Coturnix japonica: one gene and its partners. Each later gene encodes a partner of the first gene's protein in a complex. Links are inferred from orthologs where the notes say so. Each region holds a gene or a part of one and is shown in the gene's direction. Other genes may lie near its edges.

Evidence for each region.
Region 2: the proteins of CPSF6 (region 1) and NUDT21 are in contact, whole or in part, in a crystal structure (PDB 3P5T), measured with the Homo sapiens proteins. The link is inferred for Coturnix japonica from reciprocal best matches to the Homo sapiens genes CPSF6 and NUDT21. Residues at the interface, in NP_008938.2 of Homo sapiens: Trp90, Trp91, Thr92, Thr93, Asp94, Glu95, Lys113, Phe114, Glu116, Asn117, Arg118, Ala119, Asn120, Gly121, Gln122, Ser123; in NP_008937.1 of Homo sapiens: Pro151, Asn152, Glu154, Pro156, Tyr158, Tyr160, Pro162, Ala163, His164, Ile165, Thr166, Lys167.
Region 3: the proteins of CPSF6 (region 1) and TNPO3 are in contact, whole or in part, in a crystal structure (PDB 6GX9), measured with the Homo sapiens proteins. The link is inferred for Coturnix japonica from reciprocal best matches to the Homo sapiens genes CPSF6 and TNPO3. Residues at the interface, in NP_008938.2 of Homo sapiens: Tyr521, Arg522, Glu523, Arg524, Ser525, Glu527, Arg528; in NP_036602.1 of Homo sapiens: Arg620, Asn656, Arg657, Glu660, Arg661, Arg664, Arg667, Phe668, Arg671, Ser698, Cys699, Tyr702, Ile706, Asp709, Asp747, Asp750, Asp751, Arg754, Arg758, Gln761, Cys793, Arg797.

Annotation. Positions count from the first base shown.
Region 1 is NC_029516.1:32,102,603-32,110,931, forward strand, and holds the start of CPSF6 (cleavage and polyadenylation specificity factor subunit 6), read left to right. Parts: upstream 1-1,622; 5' UTR 1,623-1,711; coding exon 1,712-1,771; intron 1,772-8,329. UniProt on the Homo sapiens protein: Component of the cleavage factor Im (CFIm) complex that functions as an activator of the pre-mRNA 3'-end cleavage and polyadenylation processing required for the maturation of pre-mRNA into functional mRNAs.
Region 2 is NC_029526.1:519,611-530,437, reverse strand, and holds NUDT21 (cleavage and polyadenylation specificity factor subunit 5), read left to right. Parts: upstream 1-4,447; 5' UTR 4,448-4,519; coding exon 4,520-4,635; intron 4,636-5,606; coding exon 5,607-5,807; intron 5,808-7,005; coding exon 7,006-7,069; intron 7,070-7,698; coding exon 7,699-7,788; intron 7,789-8,236; coding exon 8,237-8,312; intron 8,313-8,679; coding exon 8,680-8,794; intron 8,795-8,981; coding exon 8,982-9,003; 3' UTR 9,004-9,266; downstream 9,267-10,827. Other genes in the region: prolyl 3-hydroxylase OGFOD1, read right to left, coding at 1-50, 180-259, 886-999, 1,332-1,460, 1,961-2,052, 2,476-2,592, 3,239-3,339, 3,406-3,452 and 2 more; E3 ubiquitin-protein ligase AMFR, read left to right, coding at 9,860-10,051, 10,381-10,473. UniProt on the Homo sapiens protein: Component of the cleavage factor Im (CFIm) complex that functions as an activator of the pre-mRNA 3'-end cleavage and polyadenylation processing required for the maturation of pre-mRNA into functional mRNAs.
Region 3 is NC_029516.1:731,225-742,051, reverse strand, and holds the start of TNPO3 (transportin-3), read left to right. Parts: upstream 1-5,052; 5' UTR 5,053-5,180; coding exon 5,181-5,306; intron 5,307-7,834; coding exon 7,835-8,035; intron 8,036-8,650; coding exon 8,651-8,724; intron 8,725-8,964; coding exon 8,965-9,121; intron 9,122-9,718; coding exon 9,719-9,862; intron 9,863-10,561; coding exon 10,562-10,737; intron 10,738-10,827. UniProt on the Homo sapiens protein: Importin, which transports target proteins into the nucleus. Specifically mediates the nuclear import of splicing factor serine/arginine (SR) proteins, such as RBM4, SFRS1 and SFRS2, by recognizing phosphorylated SR domains.

The DNA of each region.
Region 1 (8,329 bases):
TGATCCCTGAGGTGGTTTCTGAGGTGAGCATAATGACTTTATCATTCATTCTTTAATCTCTTTGCCCTTTGAAACATAATTACAACCTACGTGCAATTTTCATAAGGTATCCAGATGCACATAAAACATTCAAGTGCACACAACCCAGCATAGACTCGCAGCATTACCGAATCATAGAACATCCCATGTTGGAAGGGACCCACAAGGATCACTGGGTGCAGCTCCTGGCTCCACACAGCACTACCCAACATTCAAGCCACACTTCTGAGAAGTCCAAACACTTCTTGAAGTCCATCAGCTTGAGACTGTGGCCTCTTCCTGGGCCCACAGCATCCAGCTAGACACTCAGAGAAGAACTTCCCAACATCTCCAATGAATACTTATCAGGATAGGAAAGGTTTGTTTTTTCCTCAGTAGTGTGGAAGAAGGTGGACAGATGGACTGAAGTGTTGTGCCAAAGTGCTCCGTGTTGTTACAAGTAACAAGAACATCATCAAGCCAGACGTGGTCCTTTTTAAATCTCCACACACAGTGCCTGGATACACTCTAGTAAATGTTTCTTCAGGTGATATTCTGAACCTCTCCAAGGGGCTTTCCAAGGAGTGCTTGGTTTGTTGGTTAGGAAAGCTCTCACAGCTGAGAACAATCCCAGCTGTAGGTTTTTTTGTTTGTTAACACATATAACAGCACAAGAGGCTGTTGTATGTATGTATAATGTGTGTGTGTGCCACAAACTGGATGAGAACTCCAGGGACAACCTGAGCATCTCCATGCCCAAAGTACAGCAGGACTCAGCAGGCTGAGCCAGTGTGAGGGCTGAAGCAGAAACGTGGTCATGAGAGAGACCTTGGTAGCACAGCCTGGTCTGGGAGACGAGTCCTAATGAAGTTTGTTGGGGACAGCAAGTGACCAAATGACTGCAAGCCTTCCAGACCCATCTCTGAACAAGAGAGCACACAGATGAGCAGGTGTGTTCCCTCAGCTCTTCTTTCACACTAGCTTCCATCTGATAATACAGCTGGAGCTTTCTTCCTTTCAAAAGCAGGAGGAAAAAGGGGCCCTGACAGAGATATGCATAAGACAGCAGCCCATACTTTAAGCCTGCGTGATCCACAGCATACCCATTGCTGTGGCTCTCTGATTTTTCACCTCTTTTCTGTCAGGAAAAGACCAACCTTTCCTTTCAAAGAGAACTATAACGCAAGAGCACCAAAGCACAACACGAAGCAGGGATGCTCAGGGCCACAGATGCTGATCCAGGAGCACTCCCACTCACGGAAAAGAGCATTTTCAATCCACCTGTGGTCTTTAACACTCTTTCAACCCGGTCTAGAGAAACACAAACTTCTCGTTGTCAAAAGGCAACTTTATTTTCGGATGAGAAACACCACACACAATGGAGAACACACTGTGTTCCGGGATCGAGGGCGATCCTCGCACCTCGCGCCGCGACCTGGCAGGGGCGCTGAGGGGGAACGGCGGGGCTCTGAGGAGCGGCCCCGTACTTCGCCGTGTTCCGAGGCGGGCTCGGGCCGCTTTCCCTGCACTCTGAAGGGGCGGGCAGGGCGGGGCGGCCCCCCAAGAAGCGGCAGCCGCCGGAAGTTCCCCCTCCTGGCTCGGAAGTGACGCCGCGTGCACCTTCCCCCTCCCGGCAGCGGCGGCGGAGCCGGGCGCGGCTGGCGGTCGGCCCGAGGCGCGGCCGGGCGGGATCATGGCGGACGGCGTGGACCACATCGATATCTACGCCGATGTGGGCGAGGAGTTCAACCAGGTACGGGTCGGAGCGGCCCGGCTCCTCCTCCCCTCGCTTTCCTTTCCTTCTTCACCCGCCTTCGCCGCCGCGCCGCCTGCAGGGCCCTGTGCGCGGGGCCGGGCCGCGCCGCGCCGCCATTGTTCGGGCGCCCCGCCGCAGGGCGGGACGGAACGGGACGGAGCGAGGCCGCGCCTCAGGCCCGGCCCGCGGGGGATCGGGGCTGGGCCGGGCGGGGAGCGGCGGCGCTCGGGGGCGGGAGGGAAGGAGGGAAGGAGGCAGGGAGGCAGACAGGCCGCGGGCGGGCGCCTTCCCTCCCGCTCTCTGTGCCGCCACAGCCGTCCCGCCCGGGACAGCGGCCCCTTCCCGGCCATTGTTCGCAGCGCGGGAGGAGCGGGGGAGCGCAGCCTCGTGCTGCTGGCAGCAATGCCGCCCGCCGGCTGTGCCCGCAATGCTCGGGCTCTTGGTGAGCCGAGGGGATTTATTTGTGTGAGGAAGTGGCGGTGTAACGCGCACAACTTCCTGCACTGCCGTCTGATTTCTCTGGTTTCTTTTTCACTCGCCTTTCCCCAAAGCCGCCTTCCTCCCTTCCCACCGAAAGGCGATGTTGTCGTCGGGTTTGTGGAACATCTGTTCCATGTGCGGGTGCCGCACTTCTCTGGCTGCACTGCCCTAAAACAGGTCCCATAGTGCTGCCTGTGTGGAGTGGGAGCAGGCGGCAGGGTTGGGATACGCAGCTCATGTTACCAGCAACTTTATTTCTTTCAGTATTTGTCGGTAAATTAATTTAGATCGATAATCTCCTGAAGGTATAGCATATAGCTACGCCATCCCTCGTGAGCAGATGACAGAGACATGTGCAGGTTTCTCCCTGACAGCTGAAGACCCATTAGATGAATTTACGTGGGGGTGATGTACAGCACAAATACCATTCAGCATAAAATATAATCTTTGAGGCCTCTGCCAGCCCAAGCTGTTCTCTGATTCTATCTCAGCAGCTTCTGTAGCAGCTTTGGTTTTGTGTTAGTCAGTTCCACGTAAAAAAGTGATAACAAACCAAGTTCTTCAGAAAAGATAGTTTGAATCCAGTAGTACTTGTGTAAATTCGTATAGGGGGCAGGCCTCGAAGTGGTGCAGTTTGTGGCTGTAACCTCAGTGAAGACAGATTTTTTACTTGCTTTAATTTTTGCAAGACATTTCTGTTTCTTCTTTTCTAAGCCTGAGTTCTGGGGCTTTCATGTTGTCTCAGAACCTACTCAGCTGAACTGTATTTCATTAAAATAGAAAGTTGGACTGGCAAAGATTGGCACCTCTGCACTTTCCATTTCCTTCTGCAGAGCAGGAACAAAAGCCAATTGTTACCACCTACAGCGCTGCTACCTCTAATTCTGATGCCATTGTGATGAGTCCTCTTGAAACCTCTATTCAGGGTTTCTGATTTGAAGCTGACAGCTTGAATTAATAGGAGAGGACTTACAGTTCAGCATGGCTGCGGAGGGGTGAAGATTACAATTCTCTAATGCTGTAGGGGGAAAATGATGGCAATTTGATGGTAATTTATGTAACAGGTGTTTTATGCAATGCTGTATTTCTAACGAAAATTTGTTTTATATGTAAAACAACATACTGCTCTTGAGTTGTGTGGTGCTGTGTCCGCTTGCTAGTGTTAGTTGGACTGCAGGAGCCCCTTCCATTAGTTTTGTTGGTAGCAGGGACTGGAAACATGCTGTGCAGCTTTTTTCATTCTTCCAAATACGGTATAACTGTATTTATTAGTAAAGCTGGGACAGCACTTTTGTGTTTGTAGGAAATAAATCTCTTAGGATTCGTGGTTGAGTGAGCCCTTCGTTGCTCTGTCCTGCTCTGAGCCTCAATGTGCTCACTATTGGAGCTCTTTAGAATCATAGAATTACCCAGGTTGGAAAAGACCTTAAAGATCATCAAGTCCAACCGCAGCCTAACCAGTACCCTAACTCTAACAACCCTCTGCTAAATCATATCCCTGAGCACCACATCCAAACGGCTCTTAAACACATCCAGGGATGGCGATTCAACCACCTCCCTGGGGAGCCTATTCCAGTGCTTAACTACCCTCTCTGTAAAGAAGTGCTTCATAACATCCAACCTAAACTTGCCCTGGTGCAACTTGAGGCCATTTGGGGATTTGTTTTCTGCCTGCTTCTATGAGGTGGGAGGATGTTCCACCTGATTAGCACTAGATGAAGTCCAGGTTACAAGGCTGAAGTAAAAACTCCAGCCCCCAGGTTTTCAGGCTGGCTGAACTGAATGAAAACTGAGACCTGTCTTGCAGCCAGCTGCAGGTTGCAAAGAACTGGCTGGCTGGACTTGAAGTCACATCTTTGCAGTGAAAGCACAACTTTCCCTTCCCATCTGGCGCTCATCAAAACCGTATGTGCCTGTGTTGCCTCTTTCATTAACCTACTGTTCATCATAACTGTGTCCTTTGTCCTTGTGTCTAATGCTTTACTCAGTTTGTCTCCCCTCACTTGTATTTAAATTGGTTTTAATTCCCATTTCATTTCCCCCTCCCCTTCTTTTCTTGATAATTTGTCTTCTCAGCTGACTTCCCCATCCAGCAGTGTTTTGTATTTACGCAGTGTCATGTTCTGAACCAACAGTCCCATAACCGCAGTATTTTTGCTCGCATCACTTGTGACCTGTACGAAGTATGTGTGGTGTGGTGTGTTCTGCTTTGACCATTTCCATGCAGGTCTATGCTGTGCATTATCTGCATACAGATGGCCGAAGCATCCTGTTGGTGGCAGAAGATCGCGGTAAGATTAGAGGTGCTTTAGAAAGTGTTAAGAGTGTGTTTTTGTACTTGGGAGTACTGAGTGTCACGGCACAATAGTCTTGGAGAAAGCAGCCTAGAGGCTTCTTACATGGGAACCACAAGGGCTGTGAAGTCTTAGGAACATGTTACTCTCTCGACTTTGTGTCTGGAACACAAAGAAAAATACTTTTTGTTTAATAAATGATCATTATTGGTTGTGTAAAAGTAACAACTAAAAACAGCCGTTACATCAAGAAAGCAGTTGCTGCCTTGGAGGGGCCGGGCATGTTGTGACATGATACATTTTTACTCAGAAGGGCAGTACTGTCTTGGTTGTGACTCTTTAAACGCTCTTTAAAAAGAGTGTGAGATGCCTTACTTCTATGTATGGCTGGTTTTCCTTGGTTGTCTTGGTCTACTAACCAAGAGATCTACTGAAAGGGCCCTGGGTGTAAGAGATAACCTTTGTTATTTGCAAATACCACGCTGCAAAGAAAACCTGAGACCATCTCAGCTGGGGCCTGTTAGCTTTGCTACAATGCAAACAGTGACACTGCCTACACTGCCTTTATGCTTTTGGCCTTGTGTGAGTTCTTACATTAGCCAAGGAATTAGACTGCTCTGCTGCGGACGTCTGGGCCTGTTGAAGTTAATGGGAGTCTCGTGGCCTAACAAACTTGTCCACCACGGGCTGTGTGCTGTTTTGGGAACATCAAGGGTTGTTGTTTTATTCCAGTTTGTTTATGCATTCAGACAGCTAATCAAAACCAGAAAGACTTCTGCCTGTTCCTTCAACTTGTGATACTTTTTTAGGACCTGCGGATGTTTTATAAAGTGAGATTGTTAGCATCCATGTAACGTTTTTGACTGCACATACTGTAACTTTGAATTGAAATAGCAGTAAAGGACAAGGTGAAGAATTTGCTTTTTAATTATTAAGTGCTCTTCTCAGAAATTATAGAAAGATTTAAATGGGATTTCAGCTTTTAATATCTTTTTGGGAAGGTAGTTTTGCATTTGACTCTCAAATAGAACGGAGAGAAGAAGGGGATCTCAGATGAATGCACAGTTCAAAGAACTTTTAATCCCACACACACAAAAAGAGGAAAAAAAAGGACTGTTTTCCTTTGTAAGAGGAGTGGGAGAACCCAGGTATTTTTTGCCATGCACAAGTGGAAGGCTGCTAAGTTTCAAAACAAAGTATCGCTTTTAATTTATCCCTCCTGGACATGGTGGTGATGCTCCATGTGTTTGTCTTTCCTACTTCAATGTTGCAAAGTGCTGCAGGGGGTGATTAAAACACAAAATACATGGGAAGGGCTGAGGAACTGGTCGTTGAAAACAGCTCGTCTGGGGCAAGTTTTTGACAGTGTATCTTTTCAATGCCCTTTGTATTCACTGAAGCCGAGACTGAGTAACACCGACAGTGAAACTTCAGTCCTGATTTTCCAGAGCAAACGTTGTTTGATTTCAGATAGGGATCTTGTTAAAGTGTGATGTGTGGAAACACTGCTGCTCTGATTTGCGTATAGGAGGAGTGGCACTGATGGTGCTGACTGTCTGTAAGGATGTTTATCTGTAAGAGTGTGAATGACGATGACCAGAAATCCTTTCACGCTCCATGGCTTTTACTTAAGGAAGTTGGAAGATGTCAAAACCTGCACTGCTCTGCTGATTTTCTGTGCTGTGATGGTGATCTGAAAGCCTATGGAACAGAAACTCAATCCAGCTCGGAGGAGTTTCTTGCCAGTAAGGAAGCACAGCGTAGCTGCAGACTCTCACCTGCTCCTGTTGGTGTTTTGGCAGTGCTGACCTCAACCTTCTCAGAGACAGAGGTCAGCATACGTCTGCTGTAAAACTGGTGGCTGCTTGTTTGGCTTTGGCCTCCTAGGCTGCATTCTTCTTTCCTAAAGTCATCATCTACACACAGAAATGGCAAGAATTGCTGCGTGTTTAGCAGAGGATTTCCTTAGTTGCCTTGTGACATCACTCTTGATCTTACCGTCAGATAGCATGTTTCAGCCTGTCCCAGGCAGTTCTTTGGCTTTAGTTTCGTTAATTACAATGATATGAGAAATCAGCTGTAGGTGGAGAACTGAACAGAATGAGTGAAAACACAAAACTTTATTAACTCAGTGATGATAAACTCACTTGGGAAAACATTAATTTTTTGTTGAAGTTCAGTGTTGTGTATTGGGCCAGTGCAGTTCAAACCTACTTGAGTGACAAAGCCAAAAATTGCGTATCTGGTTTTATTTATTCCAGTGATATCTTCTCTAAGAGCAGCAGCAGCGAATAATGAATGTTTTCATATTTTCAAGAGAGCTGTTCATCTGAGGATGGCTGTGGATATAGTTGGTTTTCAGCCAAGATTGCTCGCTTTGCAGCTTGTTTGCTGTGGTGGAATCCACACTGATCCTCTCTAGTCACAGTATCTGCTATTCTGAGTTACGCTGTCGACGATGCTTGTGTGGGTTTCTAGATAGAGAATCACAAGATAACAGCCACTGAAATATCTCTGATAAAAACCTGGTGAGGCGGTTTCTGTTCTGTATCATTGTGGATGAGTCCAGGAATGCTCTGAGAATGTTTGAAGTTCCAACCTTTGCTTATGGTGAAGCAAATTTTGCATGTCAATATAAAGGCTCTCCTAAGCTTTTTCCGTAACATTTCAGGGAACAACAGTGGTCTGCCTCCCTGTCAGTAGAAACTGTGTTGATGCCTCTTTTGAGATAAATTGGGCTGCTTTATCATAAGTGATTGCTTGGATAGCAGCATCCCAGTGTGGGAATTGATCACTGTAGAATATCACAGAATCACAGAATGGTTTGGATTGCAAAGGACCTTCAAACAAACAAACCAGATCCAAGTCCCTGCCATGGGCAGGGCTGCCACCCACCAACTCAGGCTGCCCAGGGCCCCATCCAGCCTGGCCTTGAGCGCCTCCAGGGATGGGGAACTGCAGCTCTGCTGAGCAGTCCGTGTCAATGCCTCACCATGCTGAATGTGGAGAATTTCTTCTTTATATCTAGTCTAAACCTGCCACCTTATGGTTTAAAGCCATTACCCCTTGTCTTAACACTACACTCCTTGCTGAAGTGTCCCTCCCCACCTTTCTTGTAGGCCCCCTTCAGGTACTGGAGGGCTCCAATGGAGTATCCCTGGAGTCTGTTCTCCAAGCTAAACAAGCCCAGATCCCTCAGCCTTCCTCCATAGGAGAGGTGTTCCAGCCCTCTGATTGTCCTCATGGCCTCCTCAGGACCGCTGAATGATGAATGGAAGTGTATGAAATTAAATGTGTCATGGGAAATGTTGGGTTTTTCCTTTTTCTTTTCCTTTTTTTTTCTTTTTTTCTTTTTCTTTTTTTTTTTTTTTTCCTTTCCCCTGATGCATTGCTTTACATGGTCTGCCTCAGGCTAAACTTTCTCTGGTCTTTTGGACCAAATACTTCTTCCTGTCTTACAGTTCAAAGGCATCCAAAGGACCACTGGTTGATTTTTGACTCATCTGTTCCCATTTCACAGGTAGTATGTGGTTGTCGAGCATATGAAGCAGAGGTTTTGTAAATAAACTCATGATTCTGTTCCCTCTGAAAGGAATCCAGTTCACTTGGACAAAACTGTGCTGTAAACTGTACCAACCTGAGGGATGGGGTGATTCACTCTGAAATCCCATGACAGTCTTTTCAACCAGAGTGTTCCAGAGGCTGGCTTGATGTTGTTGAATAGTTCCTTTGTAGCCCAGGAATAAATAAATGTGTAATGCACACAAACCCAACAGTTTAT
Region 2 (10,827 bases), on another chromosome or scaffold:
AGTCCTTCAGGATGTCAGGGAGGCTGTCTTCCTCTGCTGTCTCATAGAGTCTGGAAGACAGCAAATAGCAGCAGCAGAGAATCGATGAGAGCCACATCCATGGCAGCAGCACTGGTCAGTGCAGCCTCATGGCAGCTCCTGCTTGGTGTGATCAATGGAACAGCATTGTCATTTCCTACCTTTTATTAGGAGGCCCCCGACTACTCCAGTGGATGTCTTTGTTCTCCAAAGCTTCGCACAGAAGTTGAAATTTCTCTTTCTAGGAAAGAAAGAGTTCTGAAACATTAACCCTTAGCCCCCAGGTCTCCCTCAGTGTAGTGCAAGCAGCCATCCTGTACTCTCATATAAGGCATTCTCAATGTTTTCTTTAACTTGCCTGTCTCCCAGTGACTGCAGAATAGAAGAGCATAGTCTGGGTGGGCACTGTGAATTTTTAATGGCCATGACCTGGTAGGTATGAAATGTTACTTAACTGTTGGCTGGGTGAGAATGCAATTTCGCTGAGATATGGATGCTCAGCAAACCAGGGGTAAATCAGCCTTGAGAAACACAGCCATTCAAGTAAGCCAAAGTCACAGCAAGTTGTTTGTTTCACATACAGGTGAGTTCCCCTAAGCTCTTGCAGCTTAGATAAGAACACTCTGGTTATCATGGGAAGGATGATGTGATTCCATCCTTCTGCTTTGTTTCCAGCAGGAAATGAGAATGCTGAAGCAAAGCTTATAGGTTTTGATGTATCCCTGCACAGCAGTGTACAGGCAGGCAGTGGTTATCTATCCACAGAAACACAGAACGGCTGAGGCTGGAAGGGACTTCGGGAGGTCATGCATGACATGAGGACACTACCAGCCCTGTAACCACATTGCAAGGAAGCACAAAGCTCACCTTAAGAAAATCTTTCAGGAGAATTTCTGATCGCTCCTCAAATTCCTCCTGGATTTGAGCTTGGGAGTCCATGTCCAAATAAACTACGTTGACCCACTTATACAAGATTTCATGCTGGAAAGGAAATGGATGTGAACAACATATTTGCAAAAGTAAAAGCATTTCCCCAATTCCTCTTTGCCCAGCTGCCCATAGTACTACATTCCACCCACCCACTCCATTGCTGACCTCTCTATACTACTGTTGTCATGCACAGGGGACAGAATAAAATATATATAGAGAGATATATAGGAGGGAAACTATCTACAAATTTATGGACAGGAATCAAAAAGGAGACTTGGATAAGCTAATGTTTAAAGCATCTCCAACCACTGACGTGTCCTGAACAGGTATTTGAGAGACATGAAAGAAAGGTAAATGCAGTTCAGTGGACACTGGCTACTCACATCGTAGGGGATGTGTGGGCTCCTGGGCAAGGGAGCTTCGATGTAGCGTGCAGGTCGCTCTATTGGGGGGCCATGAAACCAGCCGCTCACTGACATGCGGCACTTCTCCTCCGACAGAATCTCTGATACCTGGAACAACATCAGCAGCACGTCAGTTTAGAATACATAACATGAAAGGAGTAGCTGTAATTGGTTACACAGACTCATCCCTCATGAGAACCTACTGCTTTCAGAGAGGAGGCAGCCAAGGGCTACAAGAAGCTGGATTATTCTCTGTTCATAGAGAGAGAGCTAAAACAAATGTTGATGCTCGAGTCCCTTGCAGATATCCAAAATCCCCACCTGACCTTTTATTCTATGCTCCCTATTCTATGCTAGGAAGTAATGGTAGGATTTTCTTTCCCCCAAGATGACGGAGTTAGGCTGACAGCTTAAAGTTGGCTTTGCCAGCTTCTGTCTTCCCTAAAGTTATAAGCTTTTAATGCACAGCACTTAGCATAAGTATCTATTCTGACTGCTCATGCTTCTCCCTTCCCCTTTTCTCCTTCCACCCAGGGCTGTAACAGCACAAAGAACAAATAGCCACAACAGAGACAAGAATAAAGACATGAAAAAAGGCAGCTCCTTGCCTGGTGGAAAGAGACTGGAGACACTTCAAAGAAAACAAGCGTGTTCCATGAAGGCATCAATGACTTCACGATTTGCTGTGGCTGAAAGTGTTCTGAGGAGGAAGAAAACATACTCTGGTTAAGATACTGAACTTACTAGCAGCTGATGGTTCTGACTTCATGGCTAACTGGTGGGATACTTCAGCATAAGGGCTGGAGCTCAGGGCTTGATGAGAAATCAGAGGACTTCTGTTGTTGGAAAGGGAATTACTTAGTCCCTTTTAAGTCCCAAGCACAGTTATTGGCATCGCTTCTACCCCGCCTTCTTGGAAAAAAAAAGGATTCCCCTCTTTGTTAAATCTGCTGTCACCCACTGGCTTTGTGGCTTTGTCTACAAAGACTTACAACCCCCTCTGCAAGGTGCAAGTTTTATCTACATATCAGTTCTGAATGAAGGAAATACTCTTCATAGAACTGCTGTGAGGGGTGGGTGCACAAAGGTCATCTCTTTCAGTCAACTAACACTGAGCTCTTACCATCTGTGCTGAACAGGTCCAGTGTCCCTCCGTCACTTTTCTCCCATGGCGGCACGAGGTACAGGATGAAAGCAATTCTCCGGCCTTCCAGCTCATCATCATGGCACAGCAGTACATCTGCAAGAACACACAGTTTGCTACAGTAAAGCTGTGCTGAGTATACCTATGATTAATTTCAGTGGTTGCTTCTCAGCTTTCTCCCTGCAACTGTACAAGAAAGAACATGCTGAGAGGCGAAAATGCAGTTCTTGGAAGGGCAGCACTAACACCACAAGGTTAATTTCTGTGGGATTTTACTGTAATTAACCTACTCTGAAGATGTGGAAATACAATTCCTGTCACCCACCACAGTGGGTGGATTAACCAAGGTCTGCTTTTTGATACACAGCTGCCCTGCAAGATGTTTGTGCTGCAGTGGAGGGAAAGGGAATCCCTGAGCATTGAGCAGTTGGTTGCATAGAAGACTTACAAGCAGTACAAGTGTTCCTTGCCTGCCATAGCAACGTGCATGCAAGGGGTGAGATAGCCTGGATGGAACAGCCACCATCCAGGGTTGGAATACCAGCCTTGGGCCCTGCTGCAGCTGCAAGCAGCATGACCACAGTAATGGGGAAGGGTCAGGAGGCGTTAGGGACAGGCTGTGGTTCACTGGGTGGTGGGCTCAGCCCCAAGCTCCAGAGCTGAGGGAGCGCTAGGACGCTGCTCTCAGACTCGGGGTTTGGGTGGTGCCATGTGGAGTCAGGAGGCTGGTGGGCAGACTGACCTGTGCTCTCATACTTGGCGCAGGAGATGTCAATGGAGGGCTCCAGCTCAATGTGGGTAACAGCCTCCAGCCACGCTCGCAGGGTCCCGCTCAGCGCCCGCCTGGGGAGCAAAGCACAGGGTGAGGCAGGCCCAGGATGTGCTGCCCCGTGGACCCTGCTGCCTTACCTCAGTGCACTGACGTGGGGCTCCGGCCTGGCCCCCAGCTCCTCGGACTGCGGCAGCATGGGGAGAGATGGAGAAAAGCATTGAAGAAGGTGCTGAAGGAGACCTCACGGCTCTGCAACCCCTAAAAGGAGGTTGTGGTGAGGATGGGGTTGGCCTCTGCTCCCAGGGGACAGTGATAAGGTGAGAGCGATGGCCTCGTGTTCTGTCAGAGGGTCAGGGTGGCCATTGGGGAACATCTGCGCTCTGAAAGAGCAATGAGGCAACGGCACAGCTCAACGGGGAGGGGGGGGGTGTCAACCATCGCTGGGGTGTCCCAGAGTGGTGTTGCTGTGGCACTGCGGGCTGCAGGCAGTGCGCACTCTGTGCTCTATGTCGCTCAGTGCACTCTGTGCTCTATGTCGCTCAGTGCACTCTGTGCTCTATGTCGCTCAGTGCACTCTGTGCTCTATGTCGCTCAGTGCACTCTGTGCTCCCTGTCGCTCAGCCCCGCTCCCGTCCCGTCCCACCTGGTGCACTGTCAGCAGGTCGTTCCGTCTCTCCCTGTATCCCAGGCCCAGCAGCTCATCGCCCAGCGCCGCCGCGAATGCCGGGCTGGCCAAGAGGCCGCGCAACACGCCGTGCCGGAACGGGGCCCGCTCCACCGCTACGGCCTCTGCGGGGACAAAGCGGGCGGTCAGTTCGGCAGGCGGCAGTAGGATGAAAGCCGCTAGACCCCCCCTAGGGCCCATCCCGTACCGTGCCGGAGCGGCTCCCCGCCGTCCCAGGCCGCTGCCGCCCGCTCCCGTAGCTCCACATCACCGATGGCTGCACACAGCTCGGCCTCCACCTCCCGCCGCCCGCGCTTCTCCACACCGCGCCCGCCCGCCGCTCCGCGCCGCTTGGCCCCCATGCCGCCGCCGCACACCGAACTACCAATCCCAGCCGTCCCTGCGTGTGCCGAGCCAATCAGAGAGCGTGGGGGGCGGGGAGAGGGGTAGGGCGCCCTACGATTGGCCAGGAGGGACGACTCAGCGGCGGGCGCCGTCGGAAGTGGAAGGCGGGCGCTTCCGGCAGAGCGGGGCCGCTTGGCCCGCCGGGAGTTGTATGGCGGATCGACTTCCCGCCGCCTCCCGCCATGTCCGTGGTGCCGCCCAACCGCTCGCAGACCGGCTGGCCCCGCGGGGTGAACCAGTTCGGGAACAAGTACATCCAGCAGACTAAGCCGCTGACCTTGGAGAGGACCATCAACCTGTGAGGGCCGCGCTGGGGGCGGGAGGAACCGGCTGGAACCGCTCGGGGGTCGGAGCGGGAGGGGAGCGGTGCGTGATAGTGATAGTGACAGTGATAGTGATAGTGATAGTGATAGTGATAGTGATAGTGATAGCAATAGTGATAGTGATAGCAATAGTGAGAGTCCGGAACGGCGGGGAGAAAAGGGGCCTCACAGCGCTGCGGGAACAACCAGCCGGGGGGACACACACGGCCCCGCCATCAAAGGCTGCACAGGCACCATCCGCTGCTCGGCCACCATCGGGGATGGAGCAGCCCGAACTCTGGGCGGCCGCTGAGTAAAGAATGTTCCCTCTTTTAGTCTTAATTCACTTCATCTTATCGCTGCCTGTGTAAAAAATCACTCTCCCTATGGACCTGCTACAACAGCTCCGTACCCTTCCTATGCTGGGGGACACAAATTCTCCAGGTGGGGTCTCGTGAGGACAGAGCAAAGGGGACAGTCCCTTTTCTCTTCGTGTTGCCATCCCTCAGTTGATGCAGCCTTTCTCTTGCCTTTCCAGGCTGCAGCACACTGTCTCATGTCTCATTTTTCATCCATCAGAAGCCCCAAGACCTCTGCAGGGCTGCTCTTAGTGAAGGCTTAAAGGGACAAGAGAGGAGCTTCCTCTCCCTTTTCTCCAGGCTGCGGAGTCAAAGCAGGTGGCTGCAGAGTAGCTGTAGATGCTTCTGGTTGTGTTTGCCTGTTTCTGGGTTGGCACCATGACAACGTATCCCACCGGCATGACTTCCTGCCCTCATGAGCCATGGTGCAGCCCTTGGCATGGCATGGGGTGTGCAGTGCAGCATGCAACCCAGACCTTGTAGTCCTTTGCAATGAGTGAGTTTCTGCTCCCTCGAGTACAGAAGGCTCAGCTGCAGGGTGAACACTGCGTGCTAGAGGTGTCAATTTAGCTTTCTTATTATGTAGTAATACTTTTTTTCCCCTTTAGGTATCCTCTCACCAATTACACATTTGGCACAAAGGAGCCCCTTTATGAGAAGGACAGTTCAGTGGCTGCTCGGTTCCAGCGCATGAGAGAAGAGTTTGACAAGATTGGCATGAGGCGGACAGTGGAAGGAGTTCTGATAGTGCACGAGCACCGGCTGCCCCACGTGTTATTACTGCAGCTGGGGACGACGTTTTTCAAGCTGTAAGTGCCTGCTTCTTGAAAGCACCTTCTTAGTCCAACCAGAAAATTACAGACCTCTTGAAATGTACATATCGCAAAGTAAGATGTGGCCAACTCTGCTTGGTGTTTTTAATGAGATTCATTTGTTCCAAGCGCATGGTTTGTGAGAACTGTTTTTAAAATGATGAAATTTCCCTCTAAAATGTATTTATCTGACTCTACTCGTGGGTAGTGGAGAGTTGCCTTGGTTCTAAAGTCTCTGGAAATCTTTGTTGCACTCTGGTAGGTTCCTGTTGGAAGCCCTGCTGGTAGTCAGGGTTTGGTCTTACACTGTGCAAGCTGTTATGCTTAAATACACTTATGCTACGGCTGCAAAAATGGCAAACCCTGGGAAATGAGTAGTGGTTATGAATTTACAAACTGCTGGGTCAGCTGGGTATAAGAGGGACAGGAATCTCAATTTGTGAGGGAAGTGCTTCAATTATTCCAGTGTTATCACAACTGGAAGGAAGTTTTGGTCATATGATTATAGTGGTGGTCACGCTTGTTTTCTTATTTTAAAATGGTTCGACTTGGGACAGGTGATTCTCCTTGTATTCTTGGTTTTATGTTTTTAACATTTGCAGTGTTTGGTCTCAGGTGAGGAGTAAAATTATCTCTATATCCAGATTCTTTTTTGATATGGGGCATGTATGTAGATGAAATAGGCACATTGTTTGCCTTTGCAAACAACTATGACGAGAATGTATCTTCATTTTTCTCATTATCCTTGCATGAAATGCAGGATAATTCTCCACTTGAGTTTTATGCTTCCTGCACACGTCACTAAGTACTGCTTTTGAGATTAGAACAAGCACAGCTGGTGTTTACAACCCCTTCTTCAACTTCAGTGCTTTTCTATTATTGTTAAAACTTAACCTTCTAAGTGTCTCTATCATTATTATGTATATTGTTATACTTCATCCCACTGAAGTTATTATTGTTGGCCTGTTTTGCTTTGTTTTGTTTTTTAAGGGGCACGTAGCAGCCATTAGAGATGGTCTTGGTGAAATCTACCCTATTGTCTTCAGATTGGGCATGGTTAGATTTAGAACCTCAAATGCAAAAACCTTGAGTGAATTTGTAGCTGCAAGCATGGAAATGTGTCCAAACTTACCTGTGAAAGTCTGCTAACACTGTAAAACATAACTCTAGCTTTAATCATTGATTATTTTAACAGACCTGGTGGTGAACTCAATCCAGGAGAAGATGAGGTAGAAGGGCTCAAACGCTTAATGACAGAGGTCTGTTTTCTTTTGTTATGTCGCAATACTAGAATGTTGTGGAATGTTGAATGATGTTAGAGTTAGTAGAATAGCCAAAGAACTGCAGCAGTCTCCTCGTCACTTGTCATTTTAATGCTGTAAAATGTTCTCAGGTCACTAACAACAAAGTATTACAGTAAGCTCTCGCTTATCCTCATGAGAGTGTAACCCAGTGGTCTGTCTTCCCCCCGAGTCCTGTGTTCATGTGCAACTTGTGTTTTGGGCTGTCATCAGATGTGCAGCAGGATACACAGCTGAGCACAGTGTGAGGATGACAACTTGTTTTTGAGCCAGTTTTCCCCACGTTCTTAACAACTTTATCAAAACGATTGCTGTCAGGTAGTGTCACTGCATTTCCTTCTTCTCATTGGTCTTATGGCACTCAGTTTGGCTGAATGTAGTGTGCAATTCAGAATGTCCTGTCAGGTGAGGATTTTATGAAAACAAAAAAAGCCACGTTGTAAAAGCAACCAAACATTAAAAACTATTCCAGAATAGCTCTGGACTACATCATACCCTTATTAGAGCAACTCTTCATGCTGCCAGAATGCACTTTCTACAGTATTGCTCGGAGTATTTAGTGTTCTGACTGTAGCTGTATTTGATAGATCCTGGGCCGTCAGGATGGCGTCCAACAGGACTGGGTGATTGATGACTGCATTGGTAACTGGTGGAGGCCAAACTTTGAACCTCCACAGGTGAGTACTTACGTTGACTTTCATTTTCTTAAATATAATTTGTTTTTCCAAAAGCCTTGAAGGAGCCACTTGGGCTTTTGGAGTGCTTGCTGCATGAGCCATTAGTTCTTGGGGGCTTTTGTTAAGCTATTCAGTCTTCTTTCTTTGACTGAAGACAAACTACAAAGTTTTTCTTCTGGAAGCTCCCTCTGCCTCCTTACACCTATCTACCCTGCCCTGTGCTGAGCTAGGCACTCCATTTAAGTTCCCGTTTTAACCACAGTGGTCACTTTTGCAGCACTTATGCTCACGCCCTGTGAATAGTCCCCTCTATTTCTAAATGCTGAGAACACTTGCTCAGTTTGCTGTTGTGCATTTCTGTCTTGTCAGGCTGGTTTAGCTGAGAATAAGAATTGGTGCCTACAGTACTTTCAAAGCTCTGTTCAAGCATCTTTTTTTTTTCTTCCAGTACCCCTACATCCCGGCTCACATTACTAAACCAAAAGAACACAAGAAGCTTTTCTTAGTCCAGCTTCAAGAAAAGGGTAAGTGTTTGTTTGCAACAGAGCAATTTATTTCTCAAACTATCAATGCATGTATTTCATGCAAGGAAATGTGGCTGCAGGTTTGTTTTCATATTCTTGTGGTTCATTTGCTTACAGTTAATCATTATAAAAATAAATGTTGGTATCAGTTTTGAAGTCGGGTGGTTGTTTGAACACAGGTTCCCAGTAAAGTCCCATTCCTGCTCCTACATCGTGTGCACAGCCCTGCAATTAAGCTTGAAAGGAATAAACCTACTTTGGTAGTCTAGTGCTACATGATCTTGCTTTGAGATCTGTTGGGAGTACCCTTGCCTGAATGCTTGGTGATATTTTTCATTTAATACTAACCAGCTTTATTTATTGGTAGCTTTGTTTGCAGTCCCCAAAAATTACAAGCTTGTAGCTGCACCGTTGTTTGAGCTCTATGACAATGCACCAGGATACGGACCCATTATTTCCAGCCTTCCTCAGCTTTTGAGCAGGTACGTTGTGTTTGCTTGCACTGTGGTTCTGGGAGCCCGGGCCTTAAGGCAAAGCAAAATAAATCACTTTTGCTGTGTCAGGTGGAGGCTGCTCAGGAATAAAAACGTTTGCCTGTTCATGTTCCAGAATGTCAGTTAATTAAATGGAATAGAAGTCTCTCACTTGGTGTAACTCTTCCAATTTTAGGTTCAACTTTATTTACAACTGAGTTCCTGTCCAACACCTGAGGAATCTGATTGAAGAAGCCGTCTCTGTGAGCACAGCTTTATGATGTAGAAAAAAGAATGTGTTGACTCGAGGATTTCATTTTTGTTCCTTTCCCGAAGGCCACTAAGATTCTCTTGTATGAATAGAGAAGTGAATCTCAGCTGTTTAGGTAGCAGGATGGCAGCGTGATGTCAGTGATTTTATCACTTTCCATTGTAATACTCACCAGTTTTTTTTGTACGACATTAAACGAGATGGAACCGACTGGTTGTCTTTTGTGGAGTTTGTTCTTCCTGTAGTTGTCTTCTAGTTGGAAGAATGCGACTGAAACTTTGGAAGTACACGGCAGATGCTGAAAGCTGCTGGGGGAGGTGGTGCAGCCAGTGCCTGGAGGTGCTGGAGAGGAGCGGCACTGAGGGATGTGGATGGTTGGGCTCCGTGATCTCAGAGTCTATTCCAACTTAGTGATTCTGGATATTTTATGTAGCTCCAGGACTGACTGTAGGCGCTATAGCAGCGCGGTGTGCAGGCAGCAGCTCCAGGCACGGTGCCTCTCCGTTCACGGGCAGCCGTGCGAGCACCTGGCTCTTGTTGCAGCGTTCCGACAGCCCAGCCGGCCCGCACCGTGCGCCCGGCGCTCCGTTCTCTCGCTGTTACCCGGGAGCGGGGCCGCCGTAACCCCGCCCAAGGCCGCAGGGCCGCGCCGCAGCTCTGGGCGCCGAAGGAGCGCGGGCCGCGCTGCCGGAGTCCCGCCCGGTGACTCAGCGCGGGGCGGTGCGGGCCGAGGGGCGGCGCCGGCGGGCGGAAGGGCCGCAGGAAGCGGGGCCGAGAGGCGGCGGCGGCCGCGGGGCTCCGCGATGCCGCTCCTGTTCCTGGAGCGCTTCCCCTGGCCCAGCCTGCGCACGTACGCGGCGCTCAGCGGCCTGGCCCTGTTGGCCGCCGCCTTCAGCGCTCAGCGCGCCCTCAGCGCGGCCGGCGAGCAGCGGGCGGGCGGGCCGCGGGCCCTGGACGTGGCGTACTACCTGCTGTCCGACAGCCTCTGCGTCTGGGTGAGCCGGGCCGACGGGGGCCGTGGTGCTCTGGGGGCCGTGGTGCTCTGGGGGCCATAGTCTTGCTCCGCGTGCCGACATGGAGGCCCTTAGCGCCAGAACGTGCCGGGCCGGGTGAGCGGCTCCTCGGGCAGCGGCAGCTTTGTTTGCCGGGCGTTCTGCCGGGAGGGGTTCGCGTTTCTAGAAAGCGAGATGAGCGATCGGCCCGTGTCGTACGGAGGGCAGGGTTACGTTTCATCAGAGCTGCGCGGCGCACAAAGCAGCCTCTGTTGGGCTCCTCTCGGAGCGGGGCAGAAGGATCCGTCGCTGACTGCTTTGTTTCCGTGCAGGTGCTGGTGAACACGGCGTGCTGTGTCCTGATGCTGGTCGCTAAGCTGATCCAGCGCGCGGTGTTCGGCCCGCTGCGAGTCAGCGAGAGGCAGGTAAGGCAGCACAGCACTGCTGTGTTTGCTACGTGGAACTGCTGAACACACAGTATAAATAAGCTTTAAAACACATTTCAGCCCTATCTCTGAGTTCTCTGTGCTGGAGTTCTCAGTGCTGAGCGTGCTGTCCAGTAGCACCATGTAGAAAACAATCTCCCCAGGAGATACTCCTGTATCTGCAGTTAGAGGCTTCCAGTGTTTTTCTGGAGGGAACTTCATCATTGTTTAATGGTATTTTACAAGTTCGGGGTCAACTTGCAAACCCTTTGTACACATTGCCAGATTTCTTACAAGCCCACCTCAGTTCAGGGCACTCACAACATCTGTTTTCTTCCCTGTTTTGCTTGTATA
Region 3 (10,827 bases), about 31 Mb from region 1:
GGCACAGTTACTACCTGAGAGGAGGGCATCACTGTTGTGGAGGGCACCTGTCCCCAATGGGACACCAATGGGACACCAATGGGAATGGAATGGGGACACATGCAGCGATCGGGCGGGGTCTGTACATAAGGAGCGTGGCTTAAACCAAATGGGGCGGGGTCTAAACAGGGGGCGGGGTCTGGGCAATGCCCTGAGTGCATTCGCTTTGGGGTGGGGGCGGGATTAAGGGGAGGGGGCGTATCCACGAGTTCCCAATGATGAATGCAGGCGGTGGCAGCAGCGGAGCTTTATTGTATTGACGGGGACACGCGTGGGGCTCCCGCAGGGCTCAGTCTTCTGGGCTCTTCGGGGTTCCCATGGGCACCGCCGCACTGTTCATGTTCCCCTCCAATGCTGCAGGGTCCTGGGCTGTAACCACAGGGAGATGGGGGCTGTGCCGCACAGCACCTCCATCCCCATCTATCCCCCTACCACCCCCATCCCATCCTAGTCCCACCCCATCTCCACTCCACCCCGTCCTCATGTCCTCACCTGTTCTCCCACAGCAGCGCTTCCAACACCGACACACCACCACTACCACGATGGCCACAGCAATGAAGGCGGCGGTGAAGGCGCACACCAACACCACCGTATCTGGCACTGACTCTTCGGGGACTCCTACAACATGATCCCAAATGAGGAGGACCCTGTGATCACATCCCAGCCCTAGGACACCCCAAAGGTGCCAAAGCCTCATAGGAGCCCCATAGCTTCCTGATGGAGACATGGGGTGGGGGATGGGGACACCACAGTGTGACAGGGCAGGGGATGGGGATACCCCAGTAATGGGACACGGAGCAGAGGATGGGGGCACCCCAATGATGGGACATGGGGGCACCCCATGGACTGGTGATGGGGTCACCACAACAATGTGACAGGGCAGGGGATGGGGATATCCCAGTAATGGGACACGGAGCAGTGGATGGGGATACCCCATGGATTGGCGATGGGGACGCCCCAGTGATGGAACATAGGCAGGGGATGGGGACACCCCAATGATGGAACATGGGGACACCCCATGGACTGCTGATGGGGACACTCCAAGGATGGGACATGGTGAGTGGGAGGACCCCCATTAAACCGGATTGGATAATGAATGGCATTGGGGACTTCATGATATGGGGACACTCACGTGGCACTGCTGTTGTCACCCCAGAGCCAATGGGGAACACAGGGGAGTTGGTGGCCATGGCGAGGCGTGGGGTCAGTGCTCAGGGTGCCGTGACACTGTCCTGCTCTGTGTCTGGGGGCACAGGGATGTCACTGGCCCCAGCCCTGCCCTGATCCCGTCCCCAATGCTGTCCTTGAGCCCCCACAGTGGCTGCCCCGTTGGTGTCACACTGGTGTGTGTGGGAGGGGAGGGGGAGAGGGAATAGGAGGCTGGGGGCAGCTATAGGGCATGTATAGGGAGGCTATAGGGTGGACTGAGATATGCCTGTAAGGCAAAGGTCCAGGGCAGCTACAGGCAGCTGTAGGACAATTATAGGGTATGTATGTAATTATAGGGTGGCTATAGGGCACAGGTTCAGAGCACCTATAGGGTGGAGTGTGGGGCAGTTAGAAAACATGCAGTAGGGCAGCTGTAGGGCAAAAGTTTAGGGCAGCTATAGGTTGGAGTGGAGGGGATCTATAGGACACGCTACGGAGCATCTATAGGGCGGGCAGTGATGCAGCTATAGGGCAGGGGTCCAGGCTGGTTATGGGGCATACTGCGGAACCTCTATGGGGGAAGCTATGGGGCAGGATGAGTGCAGTGCATCGCTGAGAGCAGCCCCACCAGAAGCAGCCCCCCCCCTCCCCAGACCCCCCACGCCCCTTTGCCGGGCAGCACGAGGTCCCGCCCCCCTTTGTCCCTATCCCACCTCCCCCCTCCCCCAATCCGGGGGTCCCCTCGCCCCTCACCGGTAGCGTCGCGGCGCCGCTCGGAGCAGCGGAACGGCTCCGGCACCGCCCGTTTGGCGCCGGTCCCGGTGATGCCGCTGCTGCACCGGGCGGGGCCGCGGAGCAAAACGGAGCTGCCAGGACCTGCCAGGGGCTGCCCCGCCCAGATGTGCCCCGCCTCCCCCCCCAACCCCCCCATCCAGATGTGACTCACCCAACTGTGCCCGTAAGGATCGGGGGGGTGGGGGAGGCATTCAGCCCCCGGTTGGGGTTGGGGGGCTCCGGGATCACTTGCAGCTCGACCATTTGGTGCGTTATTATCTTTAAGGACCCTTTCAACGCAACGGTTCTTTGATCTTTAAGGACCTTTCCAACAGCACCCAACCCAACCCAACCAATCAAAGGGTCTGTCATCTCTATAGACCCTTCCAACCCAACTATCATATGGTTCTGTGATCTTTAAGGACCTTTCCAACCCAACTACCCCACAGTGCTATGATCTTAAAGGACCCTTCCAACCCAACCATCTTATGTCTCTGGATTTTAAGGACCTTCGCAACAACATCTATGGTTCTGTGATCATTTAATGACTTTCAACCCAACCACTCCACAGTGTAATTCTCTTAAAGGACCCTTCCACCACCATCTTATGTCTTGATGATATTATAAGGACCCTTACACAACCACCAATATTCCTTTGATCCAATAAGGACCTTTCACAAACATCTAATGCTCTGTGATCTTTAAGGAACTTTCCAACCAACTCCCCAGTGTATGATTAAAGGACTTCCAACGCAACATCTTATGTCAGTCTGTGATATTTAAGGACTTTCCAACCAAACCTCATATTACTAGTGATTAGGACCCTTCCACCACCATCCTATGTCTGTGATCCTTAAGGACGACTTCCAGACACAACCATCCTATGGCTTTAGTGACCTATAAGGACCCTTCCAACCCAACCATTCTATGCCTCTGTGACCTTTAAGGACCCTTCCAACCCAACCATCCCACAGCCCTATGATCTTAAAGGACCCTTCCAACCCAACCATCTTATGTCTCTGTGATCTTAAAGGACCTTTCCAACCCAACCATCCCACAGTCCTATGAACTTAAAGGACCTTTCCAACCCAACCTATTTCCCATTAGGATCCCATTTGGATAATGGGACTTGGTTGGGGATAATGGGATCTTATGGGGGTTAATAGGATCCAGCTGAGATAAGAGATCTCAGTGGGGTTAATGGAGTCCCATTGACATAATGAGACCCAACCGGGACAATGAGATCACGGTGGAGATAATGGGATCCTACTGGAGTCAATGGGATCCCAGAGTGGTTATAGGATAATAATGGGATCTCATTGGAAACAATGGGATCCCAGAGTGATTATAGGATCCCACCTGCTATAATGGGATCTCATTGGAAACAATGGGGCAATGGCATCCAACGAGGGATAATTGAGTCACTGTGGGGTTAATGGGATCCCAATGGGATAATAGGATCCCAGTGTGGTTACAGCGCCCCTCTGGCATAAGGGGATCCCAGTGGGGTTAATGGGGTCCCAGTGGGGTTAATGGGGTCCCAATGGGGTTAATGGGGTCCCAGGGGTGTTAATGGGATCCCAGTGGGGTTAATGGGATCGCAGTGGGGTTAATGGGATTCCAATGAGGTTAATGGGATCCCAATGGGGTAAATGGGATCCCAGTGGGGTTAATGGGATCACAATGGGGTAAATGGGATCCCAGTGGGGTAAATGGGATCCCAGTGGGGTTAACGAGATTGCAGTGGGGTTAATGGAATCACATTGGGGTGTTAATGCGATCCCAGGGGTGTTAATGGGATCCCAGTGGGGTTAATGGGATCCCAATGGGGTAAATGGGATCCCAGTGGGGTTAATGGATCCCAGTGGGGTTAATGGGATCCCAGGGGTGTTAATGGGATCCCAGTGGGGTTAATGGGATCACAATGGGGTAAATGGGATCCCAGTGGGGTTAATGGATCCCAATGGGGTTAATGGGATCCCAGGGGTGTTAATGGGATCCCAGTGGGGTTAATGGGATCACAATGGGGTAAATGGGATCCCAGTGGGGTTAATGGGATCACAGTGTGGTTAATGGTCTCCCAGTGGGGTTAATGGGATCCCAATGGGGTTAATTGGGATTCCAGTGGGGTTAATGGGATCCCAGTGGGGTTAATGGGATCCCAGTGGGGTTAATGGGATCCCAATGGGGTAAATGGGATCCCAGTGGGGTTAATGGGATCGCAGTGGGGTTAATGGGATCCCAGGGGTGTTAATGCAATCCCAGGGGTGTTAATGGGATCCCAGTGGGGTTAATGGGATCCCAGTGGGGTTAATGGGTTCACAATGGGGTTAATGGGATTCCAGTGGGGTAAATGAGATCACAGTGGGGTTAATGGGATCCCAATGGGGTTAATGGGATTCCAATGGGGTTAATGGGATCCCAATGGGGTTAATGGGATCCCAGTGGGGTTAATGGGATCACAATGGGGTTAATGGGATCCCAGTGGGGTTAATGGAATCACAATGGGGTTAATGGGATCGCAGGGGGGTAAATGGGATTCCAATGAGGTTAATGGGATCCCATTGAGGTTAATGGGATCGCAGTGGGGTTAATGGGATCGCAGTGGGGTTAATGGGATCACAGTGTGGTTAATGGGATCACAATGGGGTTAATGGGATCCCAGTGGGGTAAATGGGATCACAATGGGGTTAATGGGATCCCAGTGGCGTAAATGGGATCCCAATGGGGTTAATGGGATCCCAGTGTGGTTAATGGGATCCCAGTGTGGTTAATGGGCTCACAGTGTGGTTAATGGGATCCCAATGGGGTTAATGGGATTCCAGTGGGGTTAATGGGATCACAATGGGGTTAATGGGATCCCAGTGGAGTTAATGGGATTCAAATGAGGTTAATGGGATCCCAGTGGGGTTAATGGAATCACAATGGGGTTAATGGGATCACAGTGGGGTTAATAGGATCGCAGGGGGGTTAATGGGATCACATTGGGGTGATTTGACCGGAACTTTGTTTCCGGGAGGGAGCGCTATTGGCGTAACACCACCGAACAGGAAATTAAGAGCGGAACTCATTTCCTTGCGGGGCGGAACTTCCCGTTTCGAAGTTTCCGGGGGGAACACATTTCGCGTCGCACCGCCGCGCTCCGGTACCGGCGCGTAGGCCCCAAAGATGGCGGCGGGAGGAGGAGGAGGGCGGCCCTGAGAGCGGCGGCTGCGGCCATGGAGGGCGGCGGGGCCCAACCCAGCTTACAGCTGGTGTACCAAGCCGTGCAGGCCCTTTACCACGACCCCGACCCCAGCGGCAAGGAGCGGGCCAGCTGCTGGCTGGGCGAGCTGCAGCGCTCGGTGCGGGGAGGGGGCAGCACGTGGAGGGGGGGTGGGTGGGGAGTTGGAGCTGGGGGGGCGGCGGTTCTGGGAGGTGAGAGGGGCGGGGAGCGGCGGGGAGCGGCACCGGGGGGTCCGGTGATCACACAGGGATGGCCCGGTGTCCTCATAGGGGAGACAGGCTGGAAAGCTGGGCTTGGGTGAACGTAATGAGGTTCAGCACGGCAAAGTGTTTGCATTTGGGCTGGAAGAACCCCAGGCACTACAGGCTGGGAGGAGCGGTCCTTAAGGACCTGGGGGTCCTGATGGACGAGAGACTCAACATGAGCCAGCAGTGCGCTCTGGCAGCTCGGAAAGCAAATGGGATCCTGGGCTCCATCAGGAGAGGGGTGGTCAGCAGGGATAGGGAGGTGATCGTCCCTCTCTACTCGGCTCTTGTGAAGCCCCATCTGTTGTACTGTGTCCAGGTGTGGAGCCCTCAGTACAAGAAAGACATGGAGATTATGGAAAGGGTCCAGAGGAGGGACAGGAAGATGATCAGGGGGCTGGAGCACCTCCCCTATGAGGACAGGCTGAGGGAGTTGGGTTTGTTCAGCCTGGAGAAGAGAAGGTTGCGGGGTGACCTCATTGCAGCCTTTCAATACCTGAAGGGAACTTACTCCCAGGAGTAAGTAAACTCTTGGAAAGGGCTGACAATAGCAGGACACGGGGAAATGGTTTTAAGTTAAAAGAGGGAAGATTTAGGTTGGATGTTAGGGGGAAGTTCTTCACTAGGAGAGTGGTTAGGCCCTGGAACAGGCTGCCCAGGGAGGTTGTGGATGCCCCGTCCTTGGAGATGTTCAAGACCAGGTTGGACGGGGCCCTGGGCAACCTGATCTAGTAAAGGTGTATGTTTGGTGGCCCTGCCAGGCAGGGGGGTTTGATCTACATGATCCTTGAGGTCCCTTCCAGCCTGGGTCATTCTGTGATCTGTGAGACTCGGTGCTGCCGGGAGTGTTCCGGATCCCTCCTAAGAGCTCCCTGGTGCTCCCCAGGGATCCTCTGTGCTCTCAGCGTGGCCGTGGGGTGTCACGGTGCCCTCCAGGAGTGGCTCGGTGTCCACCAGGGCTTCCTTCATTCCCCCTGCAGGGTTTCTGGTGCCCCTCAGTGGGTCCCGATGCCCTCCAGGCGCTCTTAGTATGGCTCTGATGCCCTGAGGAGTGTCCTGGTGCCCTCCAAGAGCTCCCCAGTATCCCCCAATTGATCCCCAGTGCTCCTGGTACAATCCTGATGGTGCTCAGTGCTTCCGTGGTGACCCCAGAAGGTCCCCTGAGCTCCTGATACAGCCTTAGTGTCCCCCAGGAGCTCCTGGAGTGGCTCTGGTGCCTTCCAAGAGGTCCTTGATTCCCTTTTGGACACTCCCTCTGCTCCGGGAATGGCTCTGTAGCCCCTCAGGAGTGTCTTGGTCCTCGTGGTTGGCAGCAATGGAGCCGTGCAGAGGTTGAGCTGCAGAGCACATGGAGCTGTGGGCTTTAGGGAGGTGGAAAACCCAAATGCCTTCGCTGTCCTCCTGCCTCACAGGTGTCCCATGGATGTAACCAAGCTCCAAGTGTTTTGTGGATGCTGCTGTGCATAGAGCTGTGAGCACGGTTGGTTTTTAGTGATGGCTTAGTGCAGTGTGGTTGTGCTTTGAGGTGGATTTTTGGCTTAGTGATAGATAGGAGCCAGGCAGGGCTCGTGTTGATGGCTCATTCTGATAACGGTGTTCCTTGGCTCTATTCCTAAAGCTAACGGAATGAGAATATGGAAGTGCAAGGTAGAAGGGTAACCCCTAATTAACCTTAAGAAACCTTTGGCCGTGGTATTTGTTCAGGTTAGGGGCTTCATTAGGGCCTTGGTCTTTATTGGAGCGCCCATCTTGGTTGTTGTGTTTGTCATCACCTTCAACACCCGGCCTTTGCAGCCCAAAGTCATTTTGGAAGCCCAGGGTGGGATTGGGAGGTAGAAGAAATCCTCACACAGGCTGTGGAAGGAGCTGAGTGTGGGGAAAGGGAGGAACGAGCCTTCATTTTCAGTATGCAGTCGGGGTTTAGGGTTAAGATTTTTAGTTTAGGATTAGAGTTATCACTTTAGGATTAGTGTGTTAGGGTTTGCATTGAGAAGGTTTGGAGCAAGGTGGGCTGAAGGCCCCTGCCAACCCCAGACCACTGAGGGGCTGCAGGAGCCCCCCTTGCTTGAACCATTCCCCAATCCCATGATGGATCCACCTCTTCCCAGCCTCACTTCTCATCGGTTAAACCCTTTGGGACTGTGTCTGGTGCATGCAGTGATGGGAACTAATGGGAGCTGTTGGGGCTGAGGGAAAGAAAGGTGGATTTCAGAGGAACAAAGCAATTTCACTGAAACAAAAACTGGCGCTCCAGTTGGGTGCCACCATCAGCCTCAGCCCCCATGTCCAGTGTTCAGTAGACCAATATTTGGTGACGGGGAGTTCATCGTGTGGCTAATGGTGTTGGTGCAGGGAATGTAGAGGTGTGTTTGCATCTTTAATACTCTGCCTTCACCCACAGGTTCACGCCTGGGAGATCTCAGACCAGCTCCTGCAGATCCGGCAGGATGTGGAGTCGTGCTACTTTGCAGCACAGACGATGAAGATGAAGATCCAGACCTCATTCTACGAGCTCCCCACCGACTCACACGCGTCCCTGCGTGATTCTTTGCTGTCCCACATCCAGAACTTGAAGGACCTCTCGCCAGTCATCGTCACCCAGGTAGGGGGAGGCTCTGGGGCTGCTCCCAGCAGGGTTAGGGCTTCCCCTGGAGCTGATTTTTGCCACCAAAGCTCTTCCCGAGGTCTTCTTGGCTGCTTTTCCTCCATTGTAGAGCAAGGAGAGCCAAGCACAGGATGCCAAGCACAGGATACTGTTCCCTGTCTCCATCTGATAACTGTATTTAAACTGATCAATGCTTTGTCCCCATTGATTTGATTTCTGTATCCCCTGCGGACACTGTTGTGTTCTGGGAAACCCCTCCCATCCCATTATCCCAAATCTCAGCGGTGCCGTGCGGCCCAGCCAAGTCTTTAAGTAACCCAGCACCAAGCGTGGGGCACCGAGCCTGCATCAGCTGTGCAGCAGGGCCATTGGGCTGCCAAACCTGAGCTCATTTTTCCCCCCAGTACTATTGGAACACAGACAGCAATCTGAAGGAAGGGAGCCCGCAGAGCTCCTCCTGCCAGCTGTCTGGGAATGCCCCTCCTGAGCTGGGGTGGAGGTGCTCAGTGAGATGGGATGGCTGGGGAGCAGAGGGGCCACAAACATCCCACAATGAGGGATGTTTGAGGGTTTTGCATCTCCACTCTAAGCTGTGTTTTCTCTCCTTCGCAGCTCGCTTTAGCAATAGCAGACCTGGCCCTGCAGATGGCTTCTTGGAAGGGCTGCGTGCAGACGCTGGTCGAAAAGTAAGTGATGGTTTGTGTCTGCTGGTGGACAGACCTGTGCGATCTGAAAAGACACATGGCAGCAAATGGGGCAGCAATGGGGGTGTTTCTGTGGCTCAGTCCGTAAAGAAGAGCTTCTCAGATCGCCTCTGAGTAGAGGTGGAATTCCCATCCATCACTCCACATGTGACAGCGCTTAGGATTCCACATCTACGTTTCTGCCCCCTGCCCACGTGCTCTCTATGCTCCGGTTGCTTCCAGGTACAGCAATGATGTCACCTCACTGCCCTTCCTGCTGGAGATCCTGACGGTGCTGCCCGAGGAGGTGCACAGCCGCTCGCTGCGCATCGGGGCCAACCGCCGCACTGAGATCATCGAGGACTTGGCCTACTACTCCAGCACTGTTGTCTCACTGCTGGTAAGGGCATGTGCTGCAGTGCATGGGGCATGTTCTCCATTGGGTCTTCTCCCAGTTTCCCTTCCACCCCAAACAGTTCTGGGATAGGAGGTCCCATCCACCTCAGACAGTTTTGGGATTGGATTTCCTTTCCACACCAAACCATTCTGGGATAGAGGGTCCCCTTGGCCCCAGACCATTGCAGGATTGAAGGTCCTAAACCATTAAGTGATTTGTCTTCTGGTTCTCAGTGTTTGAGTACAGATAAATGTAATTAATCTCATGGCTGAGTCCAGAGATCTTCACTGGGCTGGGCTGAAGTGCAGAACCTGCCTTTGGAAATTTATGAGCCCAGTGAGGATCTCTGGGAGCCCAGCATGACCTTTTTGGTGCCTTAGGATCCTAGAATCGTTAAATCTTAGAATACCCCAAAGTTGGAAGGGACCCGTGAGGATTGTTGACTCCAATTGGTTCTGCATGGCAGCACCCAGAACCCAAACCATGCGTCCCTTGGGGGACACGAAGGTCACCCCGCAGTCTCCAGGATGCCTGTCTTTCCCCAACCTCATTTCTCAAATCATGTGAGTGCTGCAAGTGGTTTTTCTTGTCTTGCCATAGATGACGTGTGTGGAGAAAGCAGGCAATGATGAGAAGATGCTCATCAAAATCTTCCGGTGCCTGGGGAGCTGGTTCAACCTGGGGGTCCTGGACAGCACCTTCATGGCCAACAGCAAGCTGCTGTCGCTCCTTTTTGAGGTGTTGGTGAGTATCCCTCCTGTTGTGGTGCTCTTAAGTCCATATGGTGCTGCTTCTCTTCCTATAACTCCATCCCCTGTGTTGGATGGGAATGTTCTGGGCTCCCAATTTTGGGGGTGGCGTGGCTGAGTAATGCCATTTCCAGCCTGTCCGGGGATCACCACCACGGCCAGGTTTGCAGCTTGGTCAGCGGTTTGCCATAGTCATGAAATGAAGTTTCGGGGTTGCTTTTGGTTTGAGGAGTTGTCTGTATTCCTTGGGTAGGAGAAAAATGTATTTTCTTCATCTATGTTCTTCTTTGAACAAACTGCGTTTGCTTAGCACTGAAATCAATGCTGAAAATCAGGTTTTCAGCAGAAAATTTAATTCCCTTGCTGACACTTTTATTGCTTAATTCCAAAGGGGTTTTGTGCTTTTATGCACATGGCAGAGCACCAGCAGCAAAGGGATTCTGACGTTTTCTGGAGGTGCAGCCCCACGTTGTATCGCTTCCTCCCCTCGTTAACAGGAAGCTCATTTGCATCTGTTCCATGGTGCAAATTAAACAAAGGACAAATGCAAACAAGAGCTCCTGTTCAGCAGAAGGAGCAGACAACACTCAATGCACGTCCTGCAGTGCTCTGGGCTGCCCCGTGTATGGCACAACATACAGATCTATCTCATTCGCCCAAACCCATCTTCCCTTTTTCCTCCTCCTCCTTGCAGCAACAAGACAAGACCTCCTCCAACCTGCACGAGGCCGCCTCAGACTGCGTCTGCTCGGCGCTCTATGCCATTGAGAATGTGGAGACCAACTTGCCCCTGGCCCTGCAGCTCTTCCAGGGAGTCCTCACCCTTGAGAGTGCCTACCACATGGCCGTGGCACGGGAGGACCTGGACAAGTGAGTGACTGTGTTTTGAGCAGCAGAAGTTGGCTGCTCTGCTCTCTGATGTGGCTATTTTGGGGATTTGCTGCATCTGTGTTGTTTTCC